Rhinolophus ferrumequinum: one gene and its partner. The protein of the gene in region 2 purifies or fractionates together with the protein of the main gene of each other region. This does not show direct contact. Links are inferred from orthologs where the notes say so. Each region holds a gene or a part of one and is shown on either strand. Other genes may lie near its edges.

Region 1 (8,170 bases), on a different chromosome or scaffold from region 2:
TGTTTAATGTGGTATACGGGTGCATTTTAGTATGTTTGATGTGATATGGGACTGGAGGTATCCAAAACAAAGTTCGAGTCAGTACTTTCACATTAAGCCAGATCTGTGCAAGTTTTAAAACTGACTTTAATCTCTTTTATCAAAGAAAGCACTCAGTAAAATTTCACAGCACTTGGAGACAAATTTTTTAAACATTCCACTGTACAAGGTATATTTTTGTGTTTCTTGTCCCTAAAAATAAGTTATTAAGCAAAAAAACCACAAAATTTTTGGAAAGATATTCCATGCACATAAATTCTCACTTTACACAACAAACAAAAAAAGGCATCAGAAGAGACAAATTTATGGAATTTGAATCAATGATTTTTATTTTTTCTTTATATTAGTAGTTGATAAAAATATTTAGAAGGGTAAAAAAAATTCAGTTATATGCTTTAACAATGGCATATTAGTCAAAAAAAATTTAAATGTAGGCTTAATAATGTATTGTGATGGTGGGGGGAGGGAGGATAAGATGTATGTATTCCAGGGGGAATATACTTTTAATATGTTTAAAATAGGAATAATGGCCCGACAGGAACTTAGGAGATGTTTTTTCCAGACTGTACATTAAAGGGGAAAAAAATTAAAGAGAGAGTCAACTTAAGAATTTCTTTGGCAGTTGAAGACTATGGCTCAAATAAAATCATTTTTGATAAATATTTTTGATATTAATTGAATAAAAATAAAAAGCTTTTCAGCACATATTGACATTAATTGCTGATTAAATTATAAGAGTTAACCTCTAATAGAGTTCAAGTTCATTGCCTGGTAAAAGTCTACTTGGGGTTCACAAAATTCTTAAGAAATGAAATGCTGGTAGAAGTATCTATTAACTTTATTTATATTAGTATTTCCTCCACCAAAAAAAAACCTCCTAATTTCACAGACGTATTACATAAACGCATGTTTAGCATTTTGAAACAATTCACTGATGTGCCATCTCTGAAAATTCATGAAAATTACAATTGTAGAATTGAGATCATTCAAGTCTTTTAATTCTTAATTTATAAATATTTCCTTCCACCTCCAATCTTAACTGTTAGAGAGTTTACATAACTTTCTCAACCTGGTCAGAGTTAGCACCAAAATCTCTCAAGTACTCCTAATGTTATCTCAGAAGAAAGTTATTCTCGATAATCATCTAGAGTTCACTCAAAGCAATTTCTTTAGTTTCTAGATGTATTCAGGATTAGAAAGTAGCAGGACTCATTTCTTTGAGCAGCAAATCAACATTACCTACCGTATGGTCACACTTGACACATATTTGAAAATTTATCAAGGATAATCTTACTACCTATTACTTATCATCTTTCTGTGCTGGGGTAAAAAAATAATTCCAAGTTATATATAAGGATGGACATACTTAGGAATGCTGAGTAAATACTTGGTTTGTATTACTTAAATAAAACACAATTAGAAAGACAAATCTACGAAAAAAAACAAAGAAAACAAAACCTATAATGTTTTCAAAACCAAAATATACTTTGGGTGGGTATGGGTAAAGTTGGGGGTGCTCCAGAGAAGAGTGGCAAATTATGTATAGTTTGAATTGCCTTGGCCTCTATCACTCCCTATTATTATTGACAATTATCATATATCCACAGAATTTCAGATCTACGGCATTTAATAATCCAGTAGTCTAATTCCCCAGTGCTCTGCATATCTTAAGTAGTCAATAAATGGTTGAAATGAAACCATTCATTTCACGAGAACTAAAACTCTAGGTGTCTCTTAATTTAAGAAAATTGGGTATTATAATGAAGTATACAATTTTTAAGTAGATGTGACTTCTGCTTTATAATAAGGATTCCCCACAAATTCAGTGGTAAGCTGCCACAGACCAATACATTAATTTTCAAAACTCTCATACATACAATTTTTTGGAAGTGAACCATCACATATCAGTATTTTATCTTTTCATAGGCAGCTTTTCCTTCTACAAGCATTAATGTCAGTCCTTGAATATTCGGTAGATATCAACAGGAGAAAATAACCTAATAGATAATATTGAAAAGGAAACTTCCCCATGAGAATGTACTAATTTATAAAGTATATAATCTATACCTAAATAATCAGGGCTTTGTATTTTTCAAATGATTCAGATACAAATCTGTTAACTGTCTAATATCTCTGAGCTGAGAGCAAAAACAATCCAAGTTCAAAGGACATAACATTTTAAATTCATAGATACTGACTTTGAGCATTTCACAGACAGGAACTATGTCTGGTCCATTTTAGGTACTCAACAAATAATTACTGCATTAACAGTTTATCGAATTTGTCAAGAACTGTTAAGATACTTTTTGGTTAGATACCTTTTATCATTGAGCCCAGTGTGTAATGCACTATAACAGATAATAAATGTTAGACAATGCTCTTTTCTGTGACTTAACAAATAATTTATTTCTGAAATATATACACAACATATATGAAGATGCAACTATACAGCTTAAAAATGACGAAAAAGGAGATCCAATCAGAACTGACTATAGGCAAACAGATTTCTAGGTCCTTTCATAACTATTTATATAGCAGAAAACAATACATGCATATATATATAATCCAACATGTTTTTGAATCTATAGCTTGAACTGGTGGCTTATTTGATTCAGTGTGGTAGTAACATTGAAAAATTCATATTAATCTCACTCTGGTTAGAAGTTCTAAATCTGAACTTTTAAATAACTTACTTAAGGAAATTTATTCCTAAGGAAAAAGCCAAATCAGAAAGTAGGTTAAAAAAGTCTCTAAGCAGCTTAAAACTGATATTATAATGTCCTTGCACAAAGGTTGCAAACTTTTTCTAAAGGAGAGTTCCTCAAAGTACCTGTTTATACTCTTGAGACAGTTTTGCTCAAGCTTCATTATGTGGTTTTCTTGCCTGTAGATTAAAAGCAGCAAATTAAAAGGGTGGGGAGGCTAACAGAACTGTTCACTGACAGCAGTTAAGAAGCAACAGCTGACAGTGAGGGAAGGGGCAGGCTAACCACAACAGACAATAGCACTAAAAAAGCAAAGCTATTCTGAGCTGTGTAGTGTGAGCAAACAGTTTCGTACACCATTATAGGAATATAATAAAACGAATATTCATAATGACTACCAGTTTTCATACAGCTGGAATGCATACCTTATTTCCCATGTGTATGTTGCAATTTTTATTCTAAATTTGAAGAATTGAACTGCTGTTGGTCACATTATCATTTGTCTCAGACTAGAAGGGCTACTAGTACCGTGGTGAGTCATGCAACCTTTCAGCTTTAGCACTGTGCTCACCACTGTTCACTATTACATTGTAACACATTATAAGAACCTCTATAACTCATTATAAGATTACCAAAGGCAACATCACTTTTTTAAATCTATTAATAGTGGATTCCAAACTACCCTTCCCTAATATCCCATGACACAGAGCCCTAAGAGAAAATCACTGACTTTTAAGACTGTGCCTGTGTTCTCTAAAATATTATGTACCTAATAGTGTTGAGGATTAAATGAGATAATGTATGTAAAACACTGCGGCAGTGTTAAGACCTTAGTAATGGTCGCTATTATTATTTTAGCACTGTGAATTTATGTAGGCCCAAACCCCTTATTTTGCAGGTGCAAAAATTAAGCCTCAAGAATAGGACGGACTTCCTATGGCTCTACTTCTAAGGTTATTGTCTTGGATAAGCAGCTTAGCTGCCTGTGTTGGAGGTTTGGGGTACTGGCTGGGCCTGGGGGCATGTGCCTGCAGGAGTCCTGTCTGCAGAGAACTGGACGACTATATTTGAACCGTTAAGTATCAGAGGCTGTGCAATACCAAGGGCAGCGGTTCGAGATGGCCAGTAGTGTGGTAACAACATCCACTACAGAAGGAAGCCTGTTCGTCTGTCTCAATACAGCAGGTTGTCAAGTAACCGGGGCATAGGGCCAGGAAAGCAATAGAATCGGGGGTTGAGCTCAAATCCCGGTTCGGTCAACTTTAAAGAGGGACGAGCACTTTACTTAAGGGCTGAAGATAGCGCGGAACTAGAAACTAACTGGGTGCTACCTCGGAAGGTGTAAGTTACCGCACCCCTCAACGCCTTTCGCGGAGGTGGACCGCCACGCGTTTCCACATCGTCCCGGCAGGGCAGTTTTTCGCTGCTTTCTAGCACTTACTCCCCGCCCCATAGGTACGGAGTGATAACCTCGCTTTTCCTTCTGGAATGAGGGCTGGATGAGTTCAGACCTTTCTCTCTGCGCGCCACGCAGCGGCGGGACCGCGGGAGGCCGGCGCGCTGCCCACACGCGCGGCTCATCTGCTCTAAGATGGCGACGATGGCCGCTCGCTCACGCCTCGCCGCCCGCTCTCCCCGGAATTTTGGCCTCAGGAGGCGGGAGCGGGCCAGGGCGCAGAAAGCAGGAGGGCGAAAACGGCTCGGACCCTCCAGTGCAGCGCAGGCTACGGAGCCCTAACGGGCCAAGGCATGCTATAAGGCGGATACAACTAGGAACACCGCCGTAGCCTGAGAAACGAAGGGGGATTAAAAAAAAAAAAAAAAGGAAAAAAAGAAAAAGGGAAAAAAAATAAATAAAAGCGGCGGCACATCCGGGACCATCCGATAGCCCCGCCCCGGAAGTGACACTTTAGCAAAGGGGCGGAGGGCGCACTTGAAAGTGGGCCCTTCCCCAGCTGTTGCTGGTCTGCCCAGAGAAGTGTTTGGAATCGACCCCACCACCTTCCTTCCGTGGGTTAGCCATTACCTTCTCGCGACTCGGGGGCTCCTTTGCTAAACGCTGGCTGCTGGGACTGGCAGCTCTCGGTTCACAAAACGTACCCCTCGCACCACGCCCCTCAACTCCCCGTCCAACCTGGCCAGCGCGGGTAATAGCGTACCTTTGAGAGAACTGGGGTGACCCTAACTCCTGCCAAACCCGTGAGCTTCTATTCGGAGGCCTTACTCGGAACCCCGGCCTTGTGCCCCCACCAGCCCGGGATCTGGGGTTGTCAGTCATGGTGCTGAGCCCGCCCCTTCCGGCGACTCTCGGGGCCCGCCTCCTCCCCTTTTCCCTCCCCCACCCCTCCCCTTGCGAGTGTCTCCCTCTCCCTTTCGCTCTCTCTCTCCCTCTCTCTCTCTTTTGTGAGTTATAGCAACCGTTGCCTTGTGAATCAAGCGCCATAGTCACCGTAGTCCTGGCGACTGTTACCCATCAACAACAACTACTCCTCTCCTCCTCCTCCTCCTCCTCTTCCTCCTCCTCCTCCCCACCACCACCATCTCCATCACCCACCAACAACACCACAATAATCCACAGCCAAGGTGAATATTCTTCGGTCTCTACATGTGTGTGGGAGCGTGTGGATGCGTGTGAACGCGTGTGTCCGTGCGTGTGTGTCCGTGTGTGCGAGCCGACTGTGGCTGTGCTGGGGTCTCACTCCTGACACCGGGGGCTGCCGCTGCGGCGCCGCAGCCGAGGGGCTCCGTCCCCCGGGCTTGTTTACAATGGACCGTGCGCGCCGCGGCTGGGTCGGGGGTGTGGGCGCCGCGCAGCCCGCCCGCCGGCCGGCCCGGGCCCTCTGCGGCCGCGCTTCAGGGATGGAGCGGGAGCTCTGGGGGCTGCGAGATGAGCGGGAGAGGGAGCCACAGTTTTCCGTTGCGGATGGTGGAGCTCTCCCCTTGGTCTGATCTGAAGAAGAGAGTCAGGTGAAGAGAGAAGGGTTTTTTTCTTTAATTTAATTCTTTTTCAAAGCTGCTTGTTTCCTGCTTCTTTCAAAACCGAAATAGACAACAATGTGCCGGGCGGGGGGGTACCCAAGAGGTGGTGTTTTGTTGTTGTTGTTCACTTGTGGGGCCTTGTTAAGGGTTTTGTTATTTTTATCCTCGTACAACGGTGAACTTTTCCCACCGCCTATTCCCTTTATTTTTGCCTTGTGCTAAATGGGCTGCCTTTTTTTTTTTTTTTTTTTTTTACCATCATCAGCTGCACGGATTTCTTTTTTCTTTTAAAACTGTTTTCTTTGTGCTGCAAACAGTCTTAATATCCATTCAGCACTCTCCCCCCACCCTTTCTTCTCCCCCCACACCCCTTGCACACTGAAACCTGGGGCCTCTACGCTGGACTCCGCTGTACTGGAAAAGATTTTTTTTTAAAGTCTCTCTCCTCTCTTTTTTTGGGGTGTGTGTGTGTGTGTGTGTGTGTGTGTGCGTGCGCGTGTGCGCGCGCGCTTGTGATTTAAACCGGATGCAGGGCATCAGTGATACTTGGGTTAGTAGTTATTGACAGTGCTTTATCCTTCATGAGGAGATGGGAGGGGTAGTAGTGAGGTTCCATTTCACTTTGATGAACCTCCTTCCCCACAGTGGAGTGTTAACAATTTTCATTGTGGTTGTAAGACTTTGTGTGTGATAAACAGGGAAAGGACATGAGGAAGCTTTGTGAGAACTCAGTTTACAGTGTTATTTGTGACAGTTATGGTACTTTAAAGAGTTTTTTTTTTTCTCCATCTTTTTCTCTGTTCGCTTTTCTTTGAGAGTTGAAATTGAAGTCAAGTTGTTCATAAAGAATGTATGAAGCTTCTCAACTTGAAACGTGTGTATATTTCACTTTCTTTATGGTTGTTAAGATCTAGGCATGTGTGTACTTAACATACTCTTCTTTATTTTTGGTTTTCTTTGGGCAGTGACTTAAACATGGTGAGAGGAGAGAACTTTCTCCTTTTTAAGTCTCTTTTTAAAAAAAATCTATTTTTTTCTCTGTACATTTGAATACTTATCAGTCCTCAAGTAGTATGGCTGTTGGTGAGAGGTAACGCAGTTTTCCAGATCCTGTAAATGTGTTCATTTTTCTGCCTAACGTTTAATTAATAGATTATTATCAGTAAAGAGTTTTGATAATGAATGTGTGCTAAAACAAATATAGTATTATATTTGCACATACTGAAGTTTCCAATTTGGAATTTTAAAATACTTATTTAAATAATCTTCTTTCTAACAGTAAACATATTGATTTACCTGACAGAGCACTGTGAATAATGTAACAGTATTAATTATTCTTGAGATTGTCAAAGAGTAGGTTGGGTAATTGGAATACTATTAAGGCCAATACTTTGTAAAATAAGAGTTGTGTTTTGTTTTTGTTTTTTCTTTATTAACTCTCCCTTTTTCAATACATTTTCTTGTGATTGCTATTTTAAATGAGGATGATAGTTCTGAAAGAAGTCTTTCTCAGAGCATCCGAATTCCTTTATATTCACCCCCTCCCCAACTTGGCTTCCATGCAAATCTCTAATACTAACTTGTTATTTTTTTTTTCTTCTGTTCAGATAAGTGTCAAATGCCTGAACTCTTTTGGATGGTGAAGCTCCTGAGTCCTATAAACTCTCTCTGAAGTTAATAGGAGTTTTGCTGTCTTGAGACAGTTTCAGACCTTATGCCATTTACATAATGGGTTTTCAGCTGAATAGATTATATGCTATAATGTTATGGTTTAATATTTTTATTTGCAGTGTCCAAGAACTTTTTTGAGGCATTTCACTCATGAAAATGACCTCAGATTCAATAATTTAGACGTTCATTCACAAGTTGATTTGAAAGCAGAACTTAATTTGAATTCTATTATCCTTTTTTAAAAGCATATAGGTGATATAAAAGTTGCTGTTAGAGATGCTTTGGGCTCAAGTATGTCAATATCAATCATATGGATTGAGAAAATAACCAGAAATATTAGCAAATTACAATTTTTTAAGTTTAACAGAAGGGTAAATAGTTAGCACTTCGTTTATTCTTTCTGTGATATTTTTCCTGTAAGGGAGTATATTGTGTATTGCTATTCTTCTGTGTTCTCACTTTTTTTTTTTTTTGTTCTCACTTTTTAGACTAATAGAAATCTCTGAAAGTGAATGACCACTCTTTAAAACTAAAACTGTTAAATAGGAGTCACTTGTGGCTTGTTTTTAGTAGCTGAATATCTGTGATTCGTTGTATTGTCATAACGACTATCTCAGTCTTTTAGATTATTTTGCCTGTGAATTGAATTAACCGGTATCAGCATATTTTTGTAGTATATTTATGTGTGTAATATAGTAAACTAAAATGTATTTCTAAAATGCATCATTCCATAATTTTTCATTATATGGGGTAGTTATACCTAATTTCAAAACTAA
Region 2 (7,974 bases):
TGGGCCTCGGTGTTCACGGTCAGTGGCCCGGCCCACGGGGCCGTGCTGGGCTCCTGCACGGCCTGGCGGGCAAAGGCCGGGTGGATGTGGACTGGGGCCAGCCGCCGCTTCTTAAAAGCCCCGCTAAGCAGGCGCTCGGCGTACTGGGGGTCGATGCGCCAGAAGCCCCCTTTGCCCGGCTCGTCCTTCTCCCGAGGTACTTTGATGAAGCACTTGTTCAGGGACAGGTTGTGGCGGATGGAATTCTGGGCACAGGGAGAGAGAAGAGACAGAAGACAGTTGGGTGAGTGGGAAGGAAGGGTTGGTGACGGGTGGCTGCTAATGCTCCTGCATGTCCTCCTACCATCTACTCTCTGACAGGGGAGGGGGGACAGAGGCGCTGCTCTGACTGGGAGGCTCTGGGACACCAGCCACAGGGCACCCGGAGCCAGGAGTGCTGTCGGGCGCTTTTGTTCCCTGTTGCTGGGATATCTGCCTGCTCAATCATCCGAGCCCTGAGCTGCAGGGTGGCTCTCAGTGCCACCCTATCCTGCCCGCCCTCCCTTACCCCACCGCTTGCGGCCTCTGGCCAAGGGCCTCAGCTCCCCCAGGGCCTGGACAGCCATCTCCCTCCACCGGGGCCTGGCTGGCCCTCTCTGTGGAGTACCATGAGGGTACGCTTGAGGTGGTTTCCAGGCAAAGCTGCGGTGAGGGGCACTGGGCGACCGAGGTTGTGTGCGTGTGTGTGTGTGTACATGCACACCTGTGCAGGCACACGCGAGTGTGTGGAGGGATGAAATGTGGTGGGATCTGATGACATCCCTTGTTTGTTAAGCGGACTGCTGGCCTGGGCCCTCACCCCCCACGACCCCCTCCTCCCACCTCAGGCTGTGAGGCCTCAGTTGATTGTTACACAGCAAAGAGCATAAGTGCTCATTCCTGGGGCCCACTTCCGCAGCCTGAACTTCCAAGGCTTGGGGTTGGGTGGGGGTCTCTGATTTCTCACTGAGGCTACATATGGGACTACCTCAGAGTCTGGGCCCAAGCGAGTGTAGAAGAGCTTGAGACTGTGATCTTGCGGCCTGCTGCCTGTGGGTGCCCCAGAAGAGTCTGGGTATCCCTGGGGCCTCTGTCCCCAACTAGCCCCTGATCCCAATGGTTGAAGACTCTCAGGGCAATATCTGCCCCGCCTCAAATCACCATCCTGCCTTGTTCATTCCTAGGTGCATAGTCTTATCCAAACCATGCTGGAGACAGCAGTCTGGGGGCTGGGCAGCAGGGTGGATGAGTGGGTAGTGACCCTGCCAAGGCTGGGATGTTTACATGGTGGCCTGGCCCCTTGGCTGCTCTGCGCCAGGTTCCGGAGACTCGGAATATGAAGCCAGTGCAGGAGGCAGAGCCCCAGTGGAAAGCACCTGGCTCAGGTAATTGTTCCCCCAGGGAGGGTGACTGAGAAGAGGGGAAGGAGTGGGGGCAGGAAACTGGGGAGGGGCTGGAGTGGGGGGCTGGGATAGCTGTTTTAGGAAGGCCCTGTTCCCCCTCCACTGGAACACATCTGGCCTTCACACCTCCTGCATTCCCCAGCAAGCCAACTGCGTGCAGAGCTTGGCAGGGGGCGATGCTCCAGCTTCCGTTTCTGAGTCAGGTCATGACAAACTGTCCTTGGGCAACGCAGTGTCTAGGAATCCTAGCACTTGGGACGAAAATGTGTCCCTCAGTCTATCACCCTCACCTAGGGGACTGTGTCCATGCATAGTCTGGCTCTGGTCCTTGGGCTGAGCCTCCTGGATGAGCGAACCTCAGCGTTTGCATCCCTAAAGCCCTCTGAACACCCACCCTCCTTCTTCTCTAAAGTCAAATGAGGGGCAGTTCCAAGCACTGGGCTCCTACGGCCTTCCTCCCTTGGGGCCCTGGCTGGGCTGCACCTACTAGGCTGAGGATCTGGGATGTGAGTCCAGTAAGGGCAAGAGTGGAGAGGGAGGAAGAGAGTGGGAAGCGAGCGACCACAAGCCGCACCTCCCCTACCTGCCAGGTTGGATCTGCATGGCGGAAGTAGCAGAAGTTGTCCGTGATCCATTTATAGATGGCGGACAGGGTGATCTTGGTGGCCTTGCTGGCCTGCATGGCCATGCAGATGAGCGTGGCATATGAGTAGGGCGGCTTCACATGAGGGTTGGTGGCGTAGTCCACGTCGTCTGGGGGCGGGGCCTGCAGTCCCGGGGGCGAGCTCCGAGACGTGCACGACGACGTGGGCTTGCCTGGCGTGTGCGGCTGCCCCAGGCAGGCGGGATCCGCCGCGAGGGGGGACCCAGGCGCCGCAGAGCCTGGAACCTGGTGGTAGCCGTGGGGGTCGGTACCCCCCGGGGGCAGGGTAGGGGCCTTGGCGTTGAGAATGGAGAATTCCTGCAGCCACTGCAGGCTGGTCAGGCTGTCATCCAGGGTGTCGGGCTCCTCCAGGCCGCCCTCCGGCCCGGCATCCTCCGCCGTCCCCGCTCCAGAGAGGCGTAGCCAGCTCTCCGCCATGTCTGCGGGGACTCTCCGAGGGGGCGGTCAACATCCAAGGGCTGAGCCAAGGGTGGCCGCCGTGCTCTCTGGCCCTCTGACTTCTGCAGCTCCAGTTACACAGCCTCCTGGACGCGCGCTTCCGTCCCGCGACCCGGGGGTGGCCTCTTCGGAATAGGAATGTGGGGCCTGCGGGGACCACAGCGGGAGTGAGCACTCTTCCCCCACCCCCCGAGAGCGGGGTGTGTGCGAGGAGGAAGGCTCCTCTAAAATCGTCCCCGCAGCCTGGAGGATCTTGTAGTGTGGAGGTCTGGGAAACAGAAGCAGAGCCCTGGGGTCCGACCCCCCGGGTCCACCTCGCTCGCAATTTTCCTTTTTGAGGTTGGAGAGGAGACTTTAGTAGCCAAATGAGGGAAGAGGACAGCGGCATCCAAGGCTATCCCCTTCTCCCCAAGAGCGGGAAATCAGACACCCCTACCCTGCAACAAATGCTAATGGGGCAAGGGAACCAAAGAGGGCAATACGACGGGGCGGGGAACTGGGGAGGTCGTCTGATCTTTGAAAAGGGATATTAGGATGGAAGATCACGGAGAAGGAAGGGAACAGGACAGAGTTATGGGAACGGGAAGTGAGTTACCCCAAACTCCTCAGATGTCAGTCGCCGGGCCCACCACTTCCGTCGGGGACCGATAGGAGAGCCGGCTGGTACTGACGTCCCTCCCTGCGTCCCGCAGCCCTCCCGGTCCCTTACCTGGCTCAGAGCGCAGCCCAGGCCAAAGGAAGGTTCTGGAAGAAGTTCTTCCCAACCCTGTGGCTTTCTGCCCCCAGCTCCAGGGCCCCGGTAGCGCCGCTCGTCGCCCCCCAGCCCGACGGCGCTTCTCTGAGCGCCAGCGGCCCCGGGACCGGCATTAAGTAGCCGCTCCAAAGGCTTCTCCTGTTGCCATGACGACACCCCGCCCCTATAAACAGCTTTCGCTGCTGCCATTGGTTAGCAGTATCCAAGGAGACCGCGGGCTCTTGCCTCTCTATCTGGCGGTAACTCTCTTGGAACTCCCTCCTTCTGCTGCCCTCTCCCGCGCCACCCAGCCCCCTACCCGCCACCGCGACTTGGGCTCCGCGCATTCCCGCCCAAGGGAATGGAGAAGCGCGCAGGGCTCGGAGAAGCGCGCGGCTCGGCGCTCTGGTGGAGACCCGCGCACCCCGGCGAGCCGTTTGCCCCGGGAACCGTACTCCCGCCCCGACCCTTCCTGTCCCAGCTGCTCCGAGGCATCGACGGCTCCAGGGACGCAGCCCCGGGAGCGGGAGCCAAGGCTGGGAGCGGGCTCAGACTTGGGAACCGTGTGCTGGGGGTTTCATTTCCTCTCCTCTGGGCTGCGAGTGACACTCCCTCACGTTTCCGCGGCCTGTCCCTCCCTCGCGATCCGGAGTATCGGCTCTGCTGTCCGCGGCAGGTCTGACTCTCCGATGCCACCTGCCGCTCAGGGCCGCAGAAATGGCAGACACACCAAGGCGGGTAGGGTAATCCATTTTCCCGGTAAGCGGCTTCCTCCCCACCCCTGACATTCCAGAAACTTCTGCGGCAGTGTTCTCCCTCCTTTCCAGATAGCTTAGGAAGTAGAGCCGGTGAGTCAAACTCAGAAAAGCCATGGACTTGCCAAAATCTCATAGCGGGGTCATTTACCCCATTAATTTCCCCAACCTTTAAGTGACAGCGACTAAGGGTGGAGTCACTCCGGGACTGTGGCCCTTCCTCCTCCCTTTTCCGGGCCTCCCTCCTGTCACCAGCTTCTCTGCTTTTCAATTATTGAGGAGCTGCAATGTTGGAAGTTCTCGGGTTTACAGGAGAGGGTGGGGGTGAGAGCTCCTTACTCAGGCGTCTGCCCGGCCCTGGAGGGCTGGGGTGGGAAGCCTGTGCACAGGGGATGGTACAGCAACTCCTACCCAGGGGCATGTCCTTCCTACCCCTTGCCCTCTTCCACTCCTCCACTTCCAGATTGTCTAGAGTAAAAGTATGAAAGAGTGCTGGAGAAAGTCGGATAGAAACTTTTCACAAATAGGCCAATTGTGCAGTTAACAGCTCTCCTTCCTGTGTAAACAGTTTTATTCATTTTTAGGAATCATGCAGCAATCCATAAATATTGCATCCTCGATGTCCCCACTGTAGTGTGCCCATGAGTGTAACTCCAGGGAGTGAGAGGGGTACACAGATGGCACAACAGTACACACACACACTTGCACACACCAGGTGTGCAAATCCTAAAGCAAAGTGACCAACAAGCGTGCCGAGATCAGGCGGACAGGACACTAACTCTCCCCGGGTGAGACGGCTTAAAGTGTGTAGGTCTGTGCCCAGGAGGTGTCCCAGCGTGGGCATGAGCTCTGGTGGGATGGAACTGGGTAGGGAAGGAAGAAAGGCTCTGAGGAGGCCTGGATCGCCACACCATCCGGACGCACCGTCTCCAGATGATGGATGGGCCAGTAGGGTTGGCAGCTGCCCTGTTCCCTGATCAGGCTGACTGGGGACCAGCCCCTTTGGGTGGGATATTCTGCTTGCCAAAGATTTAAATGAGAACAAGAGGAGTGAGAGGGAAGAAAGGAAGTGTCTGAGAAACTAGGAGTGAAGGGCCCTTCTAATGCAGATATGGCAAGGCCTGGAGGAAGCTTTCTGAGCCTCTTCCTGGGAGAGGACAAAGACCCTCCAGAACAGGTGAAGATAACGACTTCCTCTTGCGGTTCCTGGCCACTGTGGCTACTGTTTACCTGCATCTCCTTCATCTCAGGTAACACCACACTGTGGATACTACCTGCTGGGAGAGGAGGTGGGTCTGTGTGCCACCACCCTAGGCTAAGGGGAGCTCCAGCTTCAAGGAATCGGGGAGTGGGGTTATTGCTCAGATCTTAAATAGGAAAGGTGGGAGAAAGAAAGGTCATGAAGTTGGGCCTGAACCAGCAGGGTCCACTGCAGGATTTCAGACAGGGTGGGTGTGGGAACTCAAGACAGAAGCTTAGAGTCTGGCATGGCTCATATTACATCTGTCAGAACAAGTCACCTCCCCTCCCCCGCCCCATACCAGGGCAGGATGTGAGCCACAACCCGTGAGGGTCACCGCGTACCTGACAGTGCACAGAAGCCACACAGAACGTGCAGTGGATCCCCTGGGCACTGGCTCTCTGAGGCCCTTGAAATGGCCCCGAGAAGCTCTTCTAGGGTGACAATTCCAAATACTAAGACAGGCCATCAGGAAGAACAGAGCCACATCTCAGCCTTACATATTGTTGTACCTAGTTTTGCTTCCCAATGCTGTGCTGTTCACTAAAGCACAAAGCAAGAGCAGTGTGGATACCATAACACAATTGTTGAGAGCGGAGTACCACCCTGCAGCTTGCGGTCCAGGCTCGCTGTTGCAGCCACCTCACTGGGCTGGGGTGGGCACGAGATGTGAACAATAGCTCTAAATGTCTAATGAGCCTGTGGAAGGCAGTACCTCCCCCTCCCCTATCAAGCTCAGGAGAACTGGAAGGCAGGGGAGGAGAACGTGGGGGTGGGGAGCTCCCAGAGGTGAAGGCCCTGGCTCCCAGCCCCCTGCTGGCCGGCTCCACACTTTCCACCATTTCTGTTGGGGCTCCTGGGCTCCAATGGGAGGATCACTGGCCCACCCTTCCCTCAGCCCATTTCTTCAACTATTAACAAAAAGGGGTGGAGACGGGGAAATAGGGATACGAATGCCACCTGACAGGGCCGTAGTGATGAAATGTGATAATATATGACAACTCCTAACAGTGCCTGGCGCATACAGGTCGTCAGAAAGTGTGTTTTTTGAAATGTCACCTTAGGATGGAGTGCCAGTCCTTCACGAATGCACCTGATGCTAAGAAACCCTCCCGAGGGTAACTGTTTAATGGGGGGATTCTCAGGTTCAAGACCTCCTTCCTAAGCACACAGACACACAAGGCACAGGAGACTAGCTCGGCTGCCAGAAGGAAGAACTGTCTTTTCAACCAACCTTTTGTTTGCCACCATGTCCCTTGTCCTTCGGAAAGGAGCTTTTTGAGGGAATCTCTACTTACAGTGCAATATGGCTTTCCCTTCTCACAGGAGTCATCCCCCAACCCCACCCCAAATTGGAGGTTTCAAATTGGTTAAGATGTCCCAGAAACCAGAAAATGCCAGATGGGCGTCTGTGGTGAAGCTGCTAAAACTCCAAGTCGTCTTGTTCTAACCCCTAAGGAGGAGAAAGATGCACTATCAGCCTGTGGACCTGGGTGTCACCTGAACGAAGACCAAGCAATATGGTGGGAAAATTCCACAGCATCTCTGCAAAGGGTCTCATGAGGCGCAGTTCATCGATGGCTTCCGCCCACAAGCAGAAAGGAGGCTTCCGGTCCCTTCTGAGGGGAGGGATCACGGTTATGGCAGGAGATGAGGCTGGGAGGAGCAGGCTGACCTCAGTGTCCGGCTTTCCCACGGTATCCAAGTCTCCATGTGTCTTGCTGAGCATGCCCAGGAGGCCAGCGGTCCAGTGAGGCCAGGATGGACCACGGGGTCAGGCAGGCAGCCCTGTGACAGGGGTGGGGCTCTCAGACGGCCAAAGGACCCCACACGCAGGGCCTGTTCTCTGCGTCCTCCAGACTGCTGGATGATAAGCGCCGGCGCTGTGTGTTGTGATGGCTGACTACGTTGTCATCTGCTTGCCAGGTACCTGGAGGAGAGAAAGGAAGGTTATAGGAGGCAGACCTTTGGCCAGGTCCAGATGGTGTCTCCAGCAGGGCAGCCCAGGAGCTCGGCACAGACGTAGCAGGATGCGTGTTACCTGAAACTTGTGTGCACATGCCGGCCACATTGTGTGAGAGTACGGGCAGAAGTAGGCGCCACCAGGTGCAGGGGGCTGCTCCTGCCCCACCGGGCTAGGTAGGCATGGCCACTGTGGCCCACTGACAGAGGGACACGCAGGAGGTTCCTTGTTTTGTGAACGTGCCCTAGGATCCACTTTTGTATTTCATTTGTTTTGAACTTGGGCCATATGTTATGGCGGACAAGGAAAAAGAAAGGGGGTCTAGCTGAGATCTTCCTCAGGGCAGGAAGAAGTGGAGGGGACGCAGAAGAGTGTGTTCATTTGGGCCCAGAGTGTTAGCGTTCTTTGTTCGCTGGAGGTTGGGGGGCCGGAAGTGACTGGCTGCCCAGCAGGGTGCCAGGGACCCAGTGGCATTGGGGGAGGACAGGGCGATGAGGGTTCCAGCACCCCTTCCCCCACACCTGTTGCTCTTCATCTCTTTCTGACCCGAGCAGCAGCCTAGCAGCCGCTGAGGTTTGCTATCAGCTGGTGCCATCAACCCCAGGAGACATTAGCCCCAGAGCCTTAGGGTCCCACAGGTATCACCTACTAAACTCATCATCTCCCCCAGCCTGCCTTCTTGCACGTGGAGCACCGGCTGCTGTGGTGCAAAACCCTTTCTTCTCTCTCCTTCGTGCTCTGTACCCAGTCCATCGCTGCC

Evidence for each region. The genes of interacting proteins can lie anywhere in the genome.
Region 1: the proteins of FOXJ1 (region 2) and RFX3 purify together in Homo sapiens (affinity purification with mass spectrometry; 3 studies listed by BioGRID and IntAct, counting the BioPlex papers as one, with this or other methods). This does not show direct contact. The link is inferred for Rhinolophus ferrumequinum from reciprocal best matches to the Homo sapiens genes FOXJ1 and RFX3.

What each region holds. Positions count from the first base shown.
Region 1 is NC_046295.1:32,635,019-32,643,188, forward strand, and holds the start of RFX3 (transcription factor RFX3), read left to right. Parts: upstream 1-5,113; 5' UTR 5,114-5,327; intron 5,328-8,170. UniProt on the Homo sapiens protein: Transcription factor required for ciliogenesis and islet cell differentiation during endocrine pancreas development. Essential for the differentiation of nodal monocilia and left-right asymmetry specification during embryogenesis.
Region 2 is NC_046304.1:50,902,452-50,910,425, forward strand, and holds the start of FOXJ1 (forkhead box protein J1), read right to left. Parts: upstream 3,404-7,974; 5' UTR 3,233-3,403; intron 2,671-3,232; 5' UTR 2,503-2,670; coding exon 2,005-2,502; intron 246-2,004; coding exon 1-245. Other genes in the region: E3 ubiquitin ligase RNF157, read right to left, coding at 7,060-7,181. UniProt on the Homo sapiens protein: Transcription factor specifically required for the formation of motile cilia. Acts by activating transcription of genes that mediate assembly of motile cilia, such as CFAP157.